Linked DNA regions of Oryza sativa Japonica Group. The protein of the gene in region 1 interacts with the protein of each later gene in a pairwise test. Links are inferred from orthologs where the notes say so. Each region holds a gene or a part of one and is shown on either strand. Other genes may lie near its edges. The genes, in order: cleavage and polyadenylation specificity factor subunit 2 and flowering time control protein FY.

Region 1 (5,861 bases):
AATCGAATCGAAACTTGGATTCGCCGTTTGTTCGTTGGTTTGGTGTTCCCGGCGTCCAAGAAGAAGCGAGAATTTGATTTGGTTTGGTAGAATGAATGGCAGTGGGTATTTCGCTCGCTCACTCGCTCTTGTTGTCTCTTTTAGGAGAGCTTCTATGGACGAAATGGGGATCAACTCCAACTGTACTTCACTCACTGTTAACTAGGACTAGGAGTATATCTGCTGCTAATAAGCACTGTTGACAATTCCATCCAACAGAACCACTTGATCGAATCATATGCTAGGAGGAAACGACCTGAGAGAGCTTCTATTGTCACACTTAAAATATCATCGTATCGATCATTCAAAGTCGTGTATACGTACCTACTTTGGATCCTTTTATTTTCTTTTCCATCTACACCTACTCGTACTCTCTCTATATATAATAGCACAAGTCCAGCGTTTTCGACAGTAATAAAGTCAACATCAGGATTCAGGAATGAACCATTATCAAGTGTACAATAATATACAAAAAGCATATATATTGAAATTGTCTCATCAACACACCTCTTGGGTCTACTACTCTCTAAAATAAGCTAACTAAAACTAAAAAGGGATCTCGGGAGAGCAACAAACAGCATATTCTGGCGCTCAGATCCAAATGGATTAACGGTTCCTCCGTGTACAACAACATCAACACGAAAGGAAAGAGATGCCATGGTCCGGTCCATTACATTTTACAACAAGTAGAACTGAGAGTAAAGAAGCTCACGAATCTTGTAATAGTCCTCACACAGGGGCCCTTCGATCACAATCTGCTGGGAACCTGTGCTGCCCTGCAACCCACACCATAATTTAGTCACGTCAGTACATTCACAAACAAAACCACTTGAAACCGACGCGACGACTGATCGCAATTCAACGGTTTTCAAGAGGGAAATGAGAAATCAGTATAGCATGCTGTCCTTGAACAGCCGCAGCGGATCAAAGCCTGGCAATAGCATGTTCACAGCGATATACTGGATGCTACTTCACCACTACTTACCTTTTGGCCAGCATCACCAATCTTGCGCAGTGTGATGTATTCACCACACCGTAAAGCACCACCAGCAAATTCAACCTGCAAGAAATCTCTTAGCCCTGAATTTCAATGGTTTCAGAATGTATCAACAGCTATAATTACTCATGCTTACAGCCTGGTTAACATCTGCTTCCAAGTTAGCCTATTACAGTTTTGTTAATCGATTTTGGTATTCCAGCTACTAGTAAGTTATGCAAACAATATTAAGTGTACTCCTAAGAGGAGCCATCTAACAACTGGTTCTGTATGGGAGCAGGAGTAACAGTTGTAACTGTCAGGACATGCTCTCTCTCTCTCTCTCTCTCTCTCTCTCTCCCTCCCTCCCTCCCTCCCTCCCTCTCTCTCTCTCTCTCTCTCTCTCTCTCTCTCAACACTGAAACGTGAAGGGCCAGTATATCCAAGAACTTAATATTATACAGTACTAACATATTTGAAAATGAAAACTTACCTGCAAACCTTTATTTGCCAGGAATTGCTTAAAATCAGCCAATTTCAAATCACCCACAAGAACTGACTTGTGGGCTGCTGGAGTTGACGACGGGGGCAACAAAGTAAGCTTGTCATCTGTTTTTCCAACCTCTGCATCTACCCATGCAATTTCATGCTCACCCAACTGCACAGAGTGCCAGTGTTAGTGCTTTCTTACTGCTAATCCATAACAACAAAGTGCAGTTTCAGGTTAGCCCCCAAAGGTTGTATACTTGTATGGGCAAAAAAAAAAATAATCACAGGCTTGTGGTATCAGGTTCACAGATAATTTTGTCATGAAAGGCTACTTATGCTGAAAAACATTCAACTGAGTAGGGCAACAGAATGGACCATCCAGTAAGCAGTATGGAATCAATCATTTCTCAAAACTGTATTGGAAGGACCTCGGTCATTCATATTCTTGTATGGGCAAAAAAAAAAAGAAATAATCACAGGCTTGTGGTATCTGGTTCACAGACAATTTTGTCATGAAAGGCTTCTTATGCTGAAAAACATTCGACTGACTAGGGCAACAGAATGGACCATCCAGTAACCAGTATGGAATCAATCATTTCTCAAAACTGCATTGGAAGGACCTCGGTCATTCATATACATATTGCATATGAAGTAACATTTTTGCAACAATAGAAGAAGTTCTGCCTTTTCTGGTTATAATCTTATTACTACTGAAACATGAATGGTCCTGGGAATCTGGCTCACTTTATAAGCAAAAAAATCAGTTTGATAGCTTAATTTGGTTCAAGTTTATATCATCTGATAGCGTCCACATCAAGGAGATTTATTAGCACCAGTTGAAGGATAAAATACATTAATAGTGAAGGAGGAAACCAATGCTCTTACCTTCTTAGAAATAACATTACTCATTAACTTCTCCGAAAGTTGTACCTGAAATTACAAAGATAGTGAATAAGTTTGTGTATGTATGGAAATATATGATACAGTGATAGTGCAGTAAAAATGATTGGTAAATGGCAACTATTCAGTTTTGCCTCATGTTGTTTAAGTCATCGGATAAGAATTGGACACCAGCATCAGGCAACGCCTGCCCGTCACACATAATAAGAGTTTGGCTGTTAACATAAACGTTATACAGACCTTGTAAGCACATAAATCTGATGTCACATCAATAGTTTCTTCTATCTGAGGAGCATAAACATGCAAGTCTGAGTTCTTCGAACAATGCATTTTTAAATGCTCAGTAGCTTCTGCTGATCCATGAACCAAAACCTGAAAATGTAACAGGAGCTTCAGTATGTGATGGCATGTTTACCCTCAAGAAATAAACGGAAATGTAAATAATTGTATTTGTAAATGGTTTCCATAGCTCAAGGGCATCAATAATAATCAGTAAATAGGTTTAGGGAATTTCAAACTAATTTCTTGTTGAAAAGGGACAAGCTATATACGTGAGAAAAATATATGTTCCAAGAAGGAGATAATCATGTGTCAAAAAGTATAAATTCTAAATCCTAAATCATGGATGCTAAAAGAAGGGTATTTCCAGCACTTACAAGTTTTAATGGGGCCACATGAGCAATAACAGATTTTACAGAGCGCCCATCAGACCGACCTTCAAAGTCCATATATGCTAATGAACACTTGACTTGCACCTAAAAATGTTGATCATAATTAAATAGAAGTAAAGATTTTTCTAGAAATAAATAAACAGACAGACAAAATGAAGTAAATGGGAAAAAAAACTTACAGTCATCTCGTTGGAAATAACTTTTGAGGGTGTAGAATCAAGGAGTAGGCGTGCTGAGCCCTCATCAAGCATACTATCCATACCATCCCCAGCACCCTGAAAACAATTCATGAAAACATTGACATTCAAGTTTATTTTGTTGGCATTTCAAGTTTTTTCAGGTTCCAAGAAAGAAAACCCTAAACATAGTTGGCTGATATGCTCCAGGCAAAATTAAACCATCTGGCCACAGGGTTCCGATTGTAAAAAAAAGAAAAAAAGTACATAAGCAAACTTACGGGCATCAAAGTATTATCCATTTCTTCTTGCTTCATCAGATAGTCTTCAGGGTTGATAACCTCACCGAAGTCATCCCATTCAGAAGTATTTTCAAAGAAAGGAAACATTGGAGCAACACTTGATGATGGAGGGACAAATCCATCAATGAGAATATCCACATTCCCGCCAAACTTTGAACCAGCTGATGGAACCACAGAGCCAAGAAGGGTTGTTAACCACATATAATATATTGCATCAGATCGTAAAGGTCTTACAAACGCAGCCTAGCTATACCGTTGGATGGTTTGCGAGATGTGCTGGCATCAATAACCATGGGATCAGAAGCCTTTGCGTTTGATCCAAGAGACGCCTTCTTTTCCTCCTCTTTGTTTAGACTGGCCTTTAGCGCTTCCTCCTTTTTTATCCGTTCTTGTTCTTCTTCGTAAGCTTTCAGCTCATCACCAACTAAAGGAATTCGCTTGCTCATAGTGACCTTTACAGCTTTTGGAGGTGGATCTACTTGGAGCATGCGAGCTAGTGTCCCAAACTGGAATGGGATACTTTGTAATTAGATAGCTGTAGAACATAGATATATGATGCTAGAATTCTTTTGCTGAGTGAGAACAACACAAATGTTTGATCAGTTTTTGCAAATACAGAAATCTATGGAACATGAAGGCAGAGAGGATATGGTTAACGTGACGTAAGTTTGGATTCATCATCAAGATTCATGTTGTTTACACAAATTTTAAAAGTTTCATGTAGGTTGTAGCAATCAATTTGCTAAGGCCCCTTCAAGGTGTTGGACTACTTGTCACTTACAGGTTTGAAGCTATAATGGTTTGTATGTAGCTAGTTATTGAATGTATGTGCTGAGAAAGAAATAAACCATCCAGATATATTGAGTACATGGATTTACCTGTCCCTTCTCAGTAAAAAGTACTAGATTCTTTGCTTCATTTGCCATATCAACAAATATGTCATGAGAAAAGCCAACCTCCAAGCTTGCCATGGATGCTAGAACCACCTGCTAAATGTTTGTTAAATTCACGTTTCCGACAGTATGGAGGAAATAAATGTTACTCTAACCTTTGGTGCATCTCCCAGCTTTTCAAGCTCATCTTTGTTTATTATCTGTGTAACACATCTGCAACACAGAAAAAACAAAAGTTGTAGAAACTAAACAAAACAATCATACAAATATCGTTCTTAAGAAAGTTATATATGAAGTTTATAAACAAATAATAGTATAGCGCTGATTCAGGAAAAGAGGCAGTTGAATTGGCTCTGATAATACAGTATTGTAATAACAGGACAGCCCAATGAGATAAAATATAAATATGACTCCATAAGGAGAAAGTAATAGAGGAAACATGTCTATTGGGCTGTTGAAATGTAAAATAATAAGCTCATCATGAATCTTCAGGCTTGCAATGCATAGCAATTGTCAATATGCACAGAATAAAACAAAACGATGAACTGAAAAAAAGGAAAGTAACAAGAATCATTCGTACTTTAATAGGAAGGCATTGTCTCTAGTGTGTTCAAAAGACTTTGAGATTGAATCATTCATCCATTCAAGAAAACTCTTGACATAATCAACAGTACTCGTAGAAACATTTGTCAGAAAGTAGATAGGGTAGATCAAATGCCGTTGAGCCCAGTACTGCAATAAATCAAGACAAAAGGTGAACATATTATTGACATAACAAAATAAAACAGTACGAGAACAAGACCTTCAAGATTTCACCTGCTCCAATATCAAAAGAATTTCAAGAACTCTACCAGCTGTATCAATCGGCAGTAACACACTACCACCACCAGTTAGAACTTTCACTAATGCATCTGCATGAAACAGGATGTCAATTAGACATCACAAGAGGATTCCCATACAGTAACTAAAACAAACCATATACACGATAACATATATTTGGAGTCTAAAATATTAATAGTTTATTATTGAACTCAACAATGTGTAGCACTAAAAAATAATTGAGAAATAAAAAAAGTTGTGTCCAAGTTGCAAATTTGGAAAATAGAAGATATATTCATCAGTGCTACTTTGATGGAGAAAACATAAGTAAAAAACAGCTTCCAACAAAATTATCATGAGCTGTTACCTGCAACCATGGCTGTGTGGGTATAGTAGTAATGCTAGAGCTGAAAGCATTTGAAAAAGAGATAGAGATAGAGAGCTATGATAATAACATGTCCAGTGTTGTACCAATGAAATCTTGATCCTGCTGCCTTTTGTAGACATGGTTGTTCAAGGCATTGTATGCATCAGTTATCAGAACAGCTGGCCGTACAAATGATCCAAGAGCAGTACCATTCAAATGCCTGGAAAAG
Region 2 (7,479 bases), on another chromosome or scaffold:
CATGGCTGCCAATCAATTGAAATTTTAATTTAGTCAGATTGAGTCATTTGTAGCCAACAAAAAAATGTATTTCCTCTAAAAGAATGTAACAAGTGAAAAGTTCAAGAAGAAACTTGAAAGCTAAATATATTCATCAGACAGGTTAAGCACACAGTAAACTTAAGTAATCGTAAACACAAGCCAGAGTGGTCTAACACTACAATATCACAGTTAAACAAAAACCCAAGTTCCAATGGGAAAAGAAACTACCATGCCAACTAGAATTTTTTTATTTTAATTGCATTTCTGATGTCTTACCCAACCAACCAATGAAAGATCGCTCCATCATAGCTCCCGCTAACAAAATATTCTTCATGAAATGGATGCCATGCCAAAGCTGCATAAATAAATAAATTGAGTATATTATCTATTCAAAACAACCATGGCAAATAAGGGAGTGGCGGATATGACAATTTCCCATGCAACATTTCAGTCAGTAGTTTGATATCCATAATGCATGATTTGCAATGAAACAAATAAATTACAACTGCTGTTTGATTGAAAAATGAAAAATGTATCAAATCTTAAACTCCAGGAAGGGAACCTAAAATTCAAATTATGTAGTGAGAATCTAACCAGTCACATCCTTGTTGTGTCCACGGAAGGATTCAAGCTCTTTCATGGATCTAATATCATATAGCTGCATAAAACACATTAGCAATAGCAAGTTAGAAACTATCCAATATAGTGTGTTTTATTTAGTAGATATGAAACAAACGGAACTTATAATGTCTTATTAAGAAAACAGAAAATATTATATTGAATTCACTTAATTATGGAGAAAGCAGTAATTCTTCTCTAGACAATAGTTTCAACCACCAAATAAAACTTTGTTTCAATAATTGATTATTACTCCCTCTGTTTCACATTTAAGACGTTTTGGCCTCTCCATCTCTTGTCTAGATTCACTAGCTGTAAGAATTTGGACATGCATGAATCTATTTAAAACCCAAAACGTCTATAAAGTGAAACGGAGGAAGTAGTCATGCTGAATAGCTGTTTTTTTTTTTCTGATGATGCGTCCTAGGGACATTAAAATTTTGCATCAACATTGAGTATGAACCCCCCCATTCCCATGGTATACCTCACTAGCACAAGCATGTCAAATAGATGAGAAAACTAAGCAGTGTAAACAGAACACTTTGCAGAAAGAATGGATGAACAGAACAGGGTACACAAGCAAAAAATATTGACCTTAATAATCTGATCCTTGGAGGCAGTCAACACCCAGTTCCCATTCTGATTCCACTTTACACATTGTACAATGTTTTTATGACCATGGCTGCAGATATAGCTCATCAGGTCATCATGTGCTGATGTGTTGCTGACTTTCAACATTAGCAAAGTAATACGAACGATGAAACAATACATACAATGAACGTAGCTCTCTACCACTTTTTGCATCCCAAAGTTTCACGAGATAGTCTTTACCACCTAAATAACAAAAAATAGAATTAGCTCTACACAAATAAGCTCATTAAACTAGCAAGCATAATAACTGACCTGAAACCAGTAAAGATTTTGTAGGGTGCCAATCGACACTCTTAACATCCCAACCATGGCCTGGCTGAGTATGAAGGCAAATTCAGGTTACTTGATGGGTAAAAATAATATAAGATATCATGCAATAACTTCATGCATGCGAGGATCAAGTAGTTCGGGCTCATAGAAAAGTACAACAACATTACCAGTTAAGGATCTTTCTTCCTGGCATCTTGCAAAGTCCCAAACCTTCACAGTAGTGTCATCAGAACAGGAGCAAAACTTCAGGTCTGTTCTACAAAAGCTGTTTAAAAGATGCATTGTAACAGAGAATGAACATTAACTTGGTATAGGTAAAGTAAAGAAAAAAGCACATGGGGCTGCCATCACCTCAAGTCACGAACTGATTCTCTGTGAGCTGTTTTATTAACTTTAACATTGTTCATGTTACTTTGCCAATACCTACAAAGGAAGTCAAAACGTGCACTTGACATGTCAGTGAAAAGATCAACATGTTAACTTAAGGATCAGTATCCAACAGGGTGACAGACTGACAGTGATAAAAATTCAAAAGGCCAACATACTTGATTGCACCACCATCATCACCAGTGACCATCCAGTTCTCATTGTTACTCCAAATCATTGATCTTACAGCTTGGTCATGAGCCTATTATCAAATTCCTCCAAAAATCAGCAAACTCAATGACACATTACTAGAAAATCTGGAGCAAAATTATAGAATACCTGAAGGATCATTTCAAAATTAAAAGATTGGCCATTCCATAGGGTGAATTCACCACTCTGTGATCCCGTAATAAGCCGACGCCCTGTGGGAGTCCACTTTATCAACAAATAACGATACATTAGACACATAAATGACAAAAGGAGAAATCATATTTAGCCTAATAATATCAACGTGGTACACAATATACGAATTCAGTTAGATTACACCAATATAAAGATACTTGGAATGGAGTTATCAACCCTCTGCACTAGCTGGTGTAAAAAAATTGGAACATTTTTCAAACAGTGTGTGAGCCTATCAAGTGACATTTTAAAGTTGTACTGCCATCAATCCTTAATTCTACCATAAAAAATGTAGAAAACAAGTAAAAATATAATATACCATCAAATATATTTGATTTAAAATGGTAAGAGTAGCTGCCTACAGATAAATATAAAATTAGATTTCAGAAGAAAAGGAAGCTCAGCAATAAGGTGAATGGTGGTGAACACCTAGAAGTTAGATCGATTCTATAGTTTTCAGCATTCTGAAGGTATCGCTGTCCTTCAGTGACCATGCACTAGCCAAGGCTTAGTGGAGCTCTTTGAAAAATATAAAAATAGCAGTTGGGATACTAGGAAAGCATAGAGATGGATATCATAGAACTCACCAAGACCCGATTAATAGAGCATCGGTTCTTGTTTATTGATGAATGTACAAATTTTGCAGCAAAACTTGTTGAGGGATTATCGGGGTATGCAACAGACGGCAACATCTGAAAAAAAAAACCCACATTAATCAGGATATCCAGATACCAGACAATGTATTCAAAATACAGTAGATACAGACAATTTCATAATCATCCAAACTGAACAATTAATTCATCAAACTTAATCATCTTTTGTCCAAGATGACAGCACTACCCAGTAATCAATCCAAAACCCTTAACCAAAATAGCAGCACTCAGCTAATTAAAAGGAATGAGACATAAGTATGTTCTACGTAAAATATTGCCTGAAGACTGAAGAGTTAAAGATCTAATTTTGTCAGCTTAATCCATTGAGCACCCTCAGTTTTACGTTGTACCATGGAGGATTTATCTCACATATATATCATAAATAACATCCAGACAGATTTACATAGTTGTGGCAAAACTGAAAACTTATGCATTAATTAGCAAGCTAAATGGCCCAAAAACAACAACCAAAGACAGGATCTGATAGGCACTCTCCCTAGATAGCAACAGGAGTTTGATTAATCCACATACAACAATCCATTCATACAACAATATAGTTTTCTTTTTCTAAGACTATCATTTTTACTGCATAACATTTCCGTTTAACCAGAACCTTGACTCAAGAATATTCAAGATCTTCCCAATCATGAGATTGCAAAGGACATCAATATAATGTACATAGTGGTTTGTTGAAATCCAAATTACAAAAGAAATGTGAGCGTCAGAAGTATAAAAGTCTAAAAACAGAAAACAGTATGGCAACTATCTTTTAACATGTTGGTTACAAGCAAGGCAAATGGGTAAGGTAACATACGTCCAGAACAGCAGCTGGAGTCGGCTGCACAGTGGGCCTGTCCCTAGCATCCCGCTGCCACATGCGAGCCTGCATGTCATATACATAATGGTGATCAGTGCTAGCAGAAGAATAAGAAAAATACAGGGTGCTAGATCTTATTGCACAGAAAAATCAACTTATGAGCATTTCATATTCATGTGATGTTTGCAGCAGGCACAGTAAAAGGAGCATATAGTAAGCAAAGTTCAACTGTATAATAGGCTCCCACAAAATAGAACAAAACATATATCACTATAACTGCTTGAGAAATAAGTTTGTTATATTTATACTTGAACATAACGGACGACTGTGCTTGTGTAGTCCACTGTTCGCCGCTGGACAGGCTTCCGCATCCTTTTAGCACCGAAATTGTCCCCATAAGCTGAATTGAGCCAAAATTACGATAACATAAGAACGCGCACCAATACCGCTGCTGTGCCCCTAACCCTAGCCAGCGACGAAACTACCAAAAGAGCGGCACTGTTACCGTCGTACGGCGGCTGGTTCTGCTGCGGCGGGGGGTGCCCCTGGTGCGCGGCGTAGTCGCCGGGGATGTTGGTGGAGGACGCCGCCGAGAGCTGCCGCATCGGCGGCTGCGGCGGCGGGCCCCGGTAGAACTCCCCGCCGCCGCCGCCCCCGGCCTGAGGCGGCGGCGGGTGCTGCGGCGGAGGCGGCGGCGGCGGCGGCTGCTGCTGCTGCTGCATCATCTCCGCCGCCGCGAGCCCCGCCGACCTGAGCTAGGGTTTTGGATCCGTGCGGCGCGGGGGTTCGGGGTTCTTCCGCCGAGGAGACGCCGCGGGAGGGTGAGCTCCGTGAGGCGAGTGGTCGAGTGCTGTGCTGCCTCGCTTGCCTCGCGAGATGTATTTGGGCCATACAGGCCCACTCTGGCCTCATTTAGATGGGCCTTCAAGGCCGGCCCATCCACGTTGACGGCAAGGATTTTTAGCCCATGCGAGGCCTCTCGTGTATTTAGCTCCTGTTGCTTCCAAACCAAGGTGCCAATATTTAGCAGTCCTAAATGATACTGAGGCAAAAAGGAAGCATTTTGCAAAAGTAGAGTTTCGTCATGAAAATCGGGCTTGTAATTTTGATGCTCACAACTTAGCTAAGTTTGCTTCTACTTTACAGGAGGGGCGTTATCTTTGGTTCTCAAATCCTCCTTGTAATATGAATAGGAATGTAAATGTGGATGGTAATAAATAAATTATCCGCTCTTTCTAAAAAAAAAAAAAGCTCCTGTTGCTTCCTCCAAATAAAAGCAAACTCAAAGTAGTTTTTCTCTAAACAAATATGCGAATGGTCTAGTGCTTCTTTGGATGAAGGGTTTTTACTTTTTAGGGGAGAAATTTTGTATTTTTAGATTCCGTAGGAGATTCTACTATATTTCATGGGAATTTAAACATTCACCTAGTCTAGGCAAATCAAGCTATATAACTTCAAATTATCATAATCAATAGTGATAGTTTTATTAAGATTTATATCTGCCTAAAAAATCCATATCCGGCGAATTTTATGTCAGACACAACACGTTATATTTTCCCCCACGTCCTAAATATATGTGTTTTTGCACGTGTATTGATTTTTTGTGCTTTTATATTCCTATATATTCTATAAAAAAAGATCATTAGGCATAGATCCTCTAGACTCGTTCTGGTATTGTACATGTGGGTTTCTAGTTGAATTTGATAATTTTAGCACCGATGTCTAGTTGTTTACATAATCTAATATTATTGTATGAGTTTCTAAGTGCGTGCATATCCACGTACCATGTTGTAGTTATTGTTGAAAACGTAAAAATGAAGTTGTCGTCGACCTTCTCTTTAAGACTTTGTTTGATTCAGTTTAGGATTATTATATTCTAGATTATTATAAATAAGTCGAAACAAACAGATAACTTATTATGATAATTATTACAATCTATGAGCCAGATTACTATAATATGGTAATCCACTCTAAAGGTGCTTTCTTTAATTATTGGGTGGCTAATAGCTAATAACGATCCGGTGTTGAATAATCAAGAATTTCCCTATCTTTTTTACCAAAAGTATCCAACAGTCCAGTAGAAACAAACAACTAACAGATTATTCTATGTCGGTTTATTATAATCCAACTTATTGTAATATGGCTCAATAATCTATATTATAATAATCTTAAACCGAAACAAACAGAACCTAAATCACACTTCTCCCACAATGAAAAAAAACCACCCACTGTAAAACAGTGTCATTTTGAAAATCACTAGAAAAAAAGGGACAAATAAAACTGAACCATATAAAATATTCATCCTAATTCCTCTTAGTCATACTAAAGATATAATGTTTAAGTAGATAAAGTCTGCCATAAACGGTCTACATGTCATCAAGTGTACAAATTGCGTGTGTTTTTGTTTTTTTTAAAGCCCACTTGAATCTCATAAACGACGGTAGGCTTAAGATTTCTTAGACAATCTATCAAATTGCATAGGAATTGCCGTCGCATGCATGAAATTTTATATTTAAAGACATGCGTTTGAATTTTCAAGGTCCATTCTGTAGTTTCAGAAACATTTACTAGTTTCAGGAAATATTTTTGCTGCTACATGCAGTGAACAAGACAGCGAAGGCTCACCGGGAAAACGAACCGCCACCGCTCCCTATTATTAACCCCCACCCAACCACTCGCTCGCTCATACGCAGCTCAACATTAAACAAAAACGACGGATCAACCATTTCCTCCTCGACGGCAAATCGCCGGCCCCCCACGAAGACTTGTTCTTCCTCCCGCCGCGCATTTCTTTAATCACTCGATCTGAGCTGCATCCCAAATCCCCCCCGATTTAATTATTTGCGGGGGGTGATGGATCCCCACATTGTCGTCGCGTCCCCTCCCATCGCGGGGATGTGATGTCTATGAGGAGGATAATAAGATCATGGAGGGGCACAAACCAGTGCACCAATTCGTTGATAGCCCCAAGCCGCAGCGCAGCGCGAGGTAAGCACCCCCTCTCCCCCCCTCCCATTCTTCATGCCCCAATGCTGCGACTGACGATTGCGATTTGGTAATTTTTGTTCTTTTTGATTGATTTGGCTCGGTTCTTGCATTTCATACGGATTGAGCTAATTCGGTGTCTGATGTTATCCCCACCCCCTTTGCATGTGTGCAGGAGAATTTGTGGAATGGCATCGAGGATCGATGCGAATGACCACGGCAATCAGCAAGGAGGCAATCCCCAAGGTTTCTCCCTTTTGATGTCCCCTTTGAAATCTTGGCATGTGGAATTGGATGCTGCCTACATTCCAATTGAAATTATAGAGTTGCTATAGCTTCTTTTTTTTTCCTTTTATATAATCGTCAACATGAACATCCGTTAGGGAGGAACAAATAAATATTAATTGTAAAGTGTGAAGTCTACTTTAGCATTCAACTTCTTCTTGGCTGCTGTTATTAATTTCAAGCAGAATGAAATACTTCCTGCCACTCCATTAACACTTAGCAAGTTTCTAGACAGATGAAGCTAGTTGTTTCAAAAAGAAAGAGGGAGAAGAAGAAGCTAAATGTCCCCTTGTATTGTATAGAAATCCAGATGAAGTTGCTACTTATCCATTTGTTGTTTGTGATAATGACCGATGTTCATCCATGATTGGTGCCAGGTCCAGTTGGTACAGCAGAGAGATTAGAGCATCT

Evidence for each region.
Region 2: the proteins of cleavage and polyadenylation specificity factor subunit 2 (region 1) and flowering time control protein FY interact in binary tests that used the Arabidopsis thaliana proteins (3 or more experiments, as listed by UniProt). The link is inferred for Oryza sativa Japonica Group from reciprocal best matches to the Arabidopsis thaliana genes CPSF100 and FY.

Annotation. Positions count from the first base shown.
Region 1 is NC_089043.1:27,165,056-27,170,916, forward strand, and holds the end of cleavage and polyadenylation specificity factor subunit 2, read right to left. Parts: intron 5,853-5,861; coding exon 5,737-5,852; intron 5,358-5,736; coding exon 5,263-5,357; intron 5,179-5,262; coding exon 5,027-5,178; intron 4,660-5,026; coding exon 4,602-4,659; intron 4,540-4,601; coding exon 4,432-4,539; intron 4,060-4,431; coding exon 3,807-4,059; intron 3,715-3,806; coding exon 3,533-3,714; intron 3,351-3,532; coding exon 3,255-3,350; intron 3,160-3,254; coding exon 3,061-3,159; intron 2,777-3,060; coding exon 2,645-2,776; intron 2,435-2,644; coding exon 2,390-2,434; intron 1,674-2,389; coding exon 1,509-1,673; intron 1,100-1,508; coding exon 1,025-1,099; intron 816-1,024; coding exon 717-815; 3' UTR 474-716; downstream 1-473. UniProt on the Arabidopsis thaliana protein: CPSF plays a key role in pre-mRNA 3'-end formation, recognizing the AAUAAA signal sequence and interacting with poly(A)polymerase and other factors to bring about cleavage and poly(A) addition. Required for antisense-RNA-mediated gene silencing.
Region 2 is NC_089035.1:42,528,041-42,535,519, forward strand, and holds the start of flowering time control protein FY, read right to left. Parts: upstream 4,648-7,479; 5' UTR 4,524-4,647; coding exon 4,304-4,523; intron 4,199-4,303; coding exon 4,107-4,198; intron 3,865-4,106; coding exon 3,796-3,864; intron 3,021-3,795; coding exon 2,916-3,020; intron 2,362-2,915; coding exon 2,266-2,361; intron 2,189-2,265; coding exon 2,106-2,188; intron 1,984-2,105; coding exon 1,912-1,983; intron 1,826-1,911; coding exon 1,728-1,825; intron 1,603-1,727; coding exon 1,543-1,602; intron 1,474-1,542; coding exon 1,413-1,473; intron 1,322-1,412; coding exon 1,234-1,321; intron 680-1,233; coding exon 616-679; intron 377-615; coding exon 298-376; intron 6-297; coding exon 1-5. Other genes in the region: probable ADP-ribosylation factor GTPase-activating protein AGD11, read left to right, coding at 6,725-6,786, 6,959-7,029, 7,446-7,479.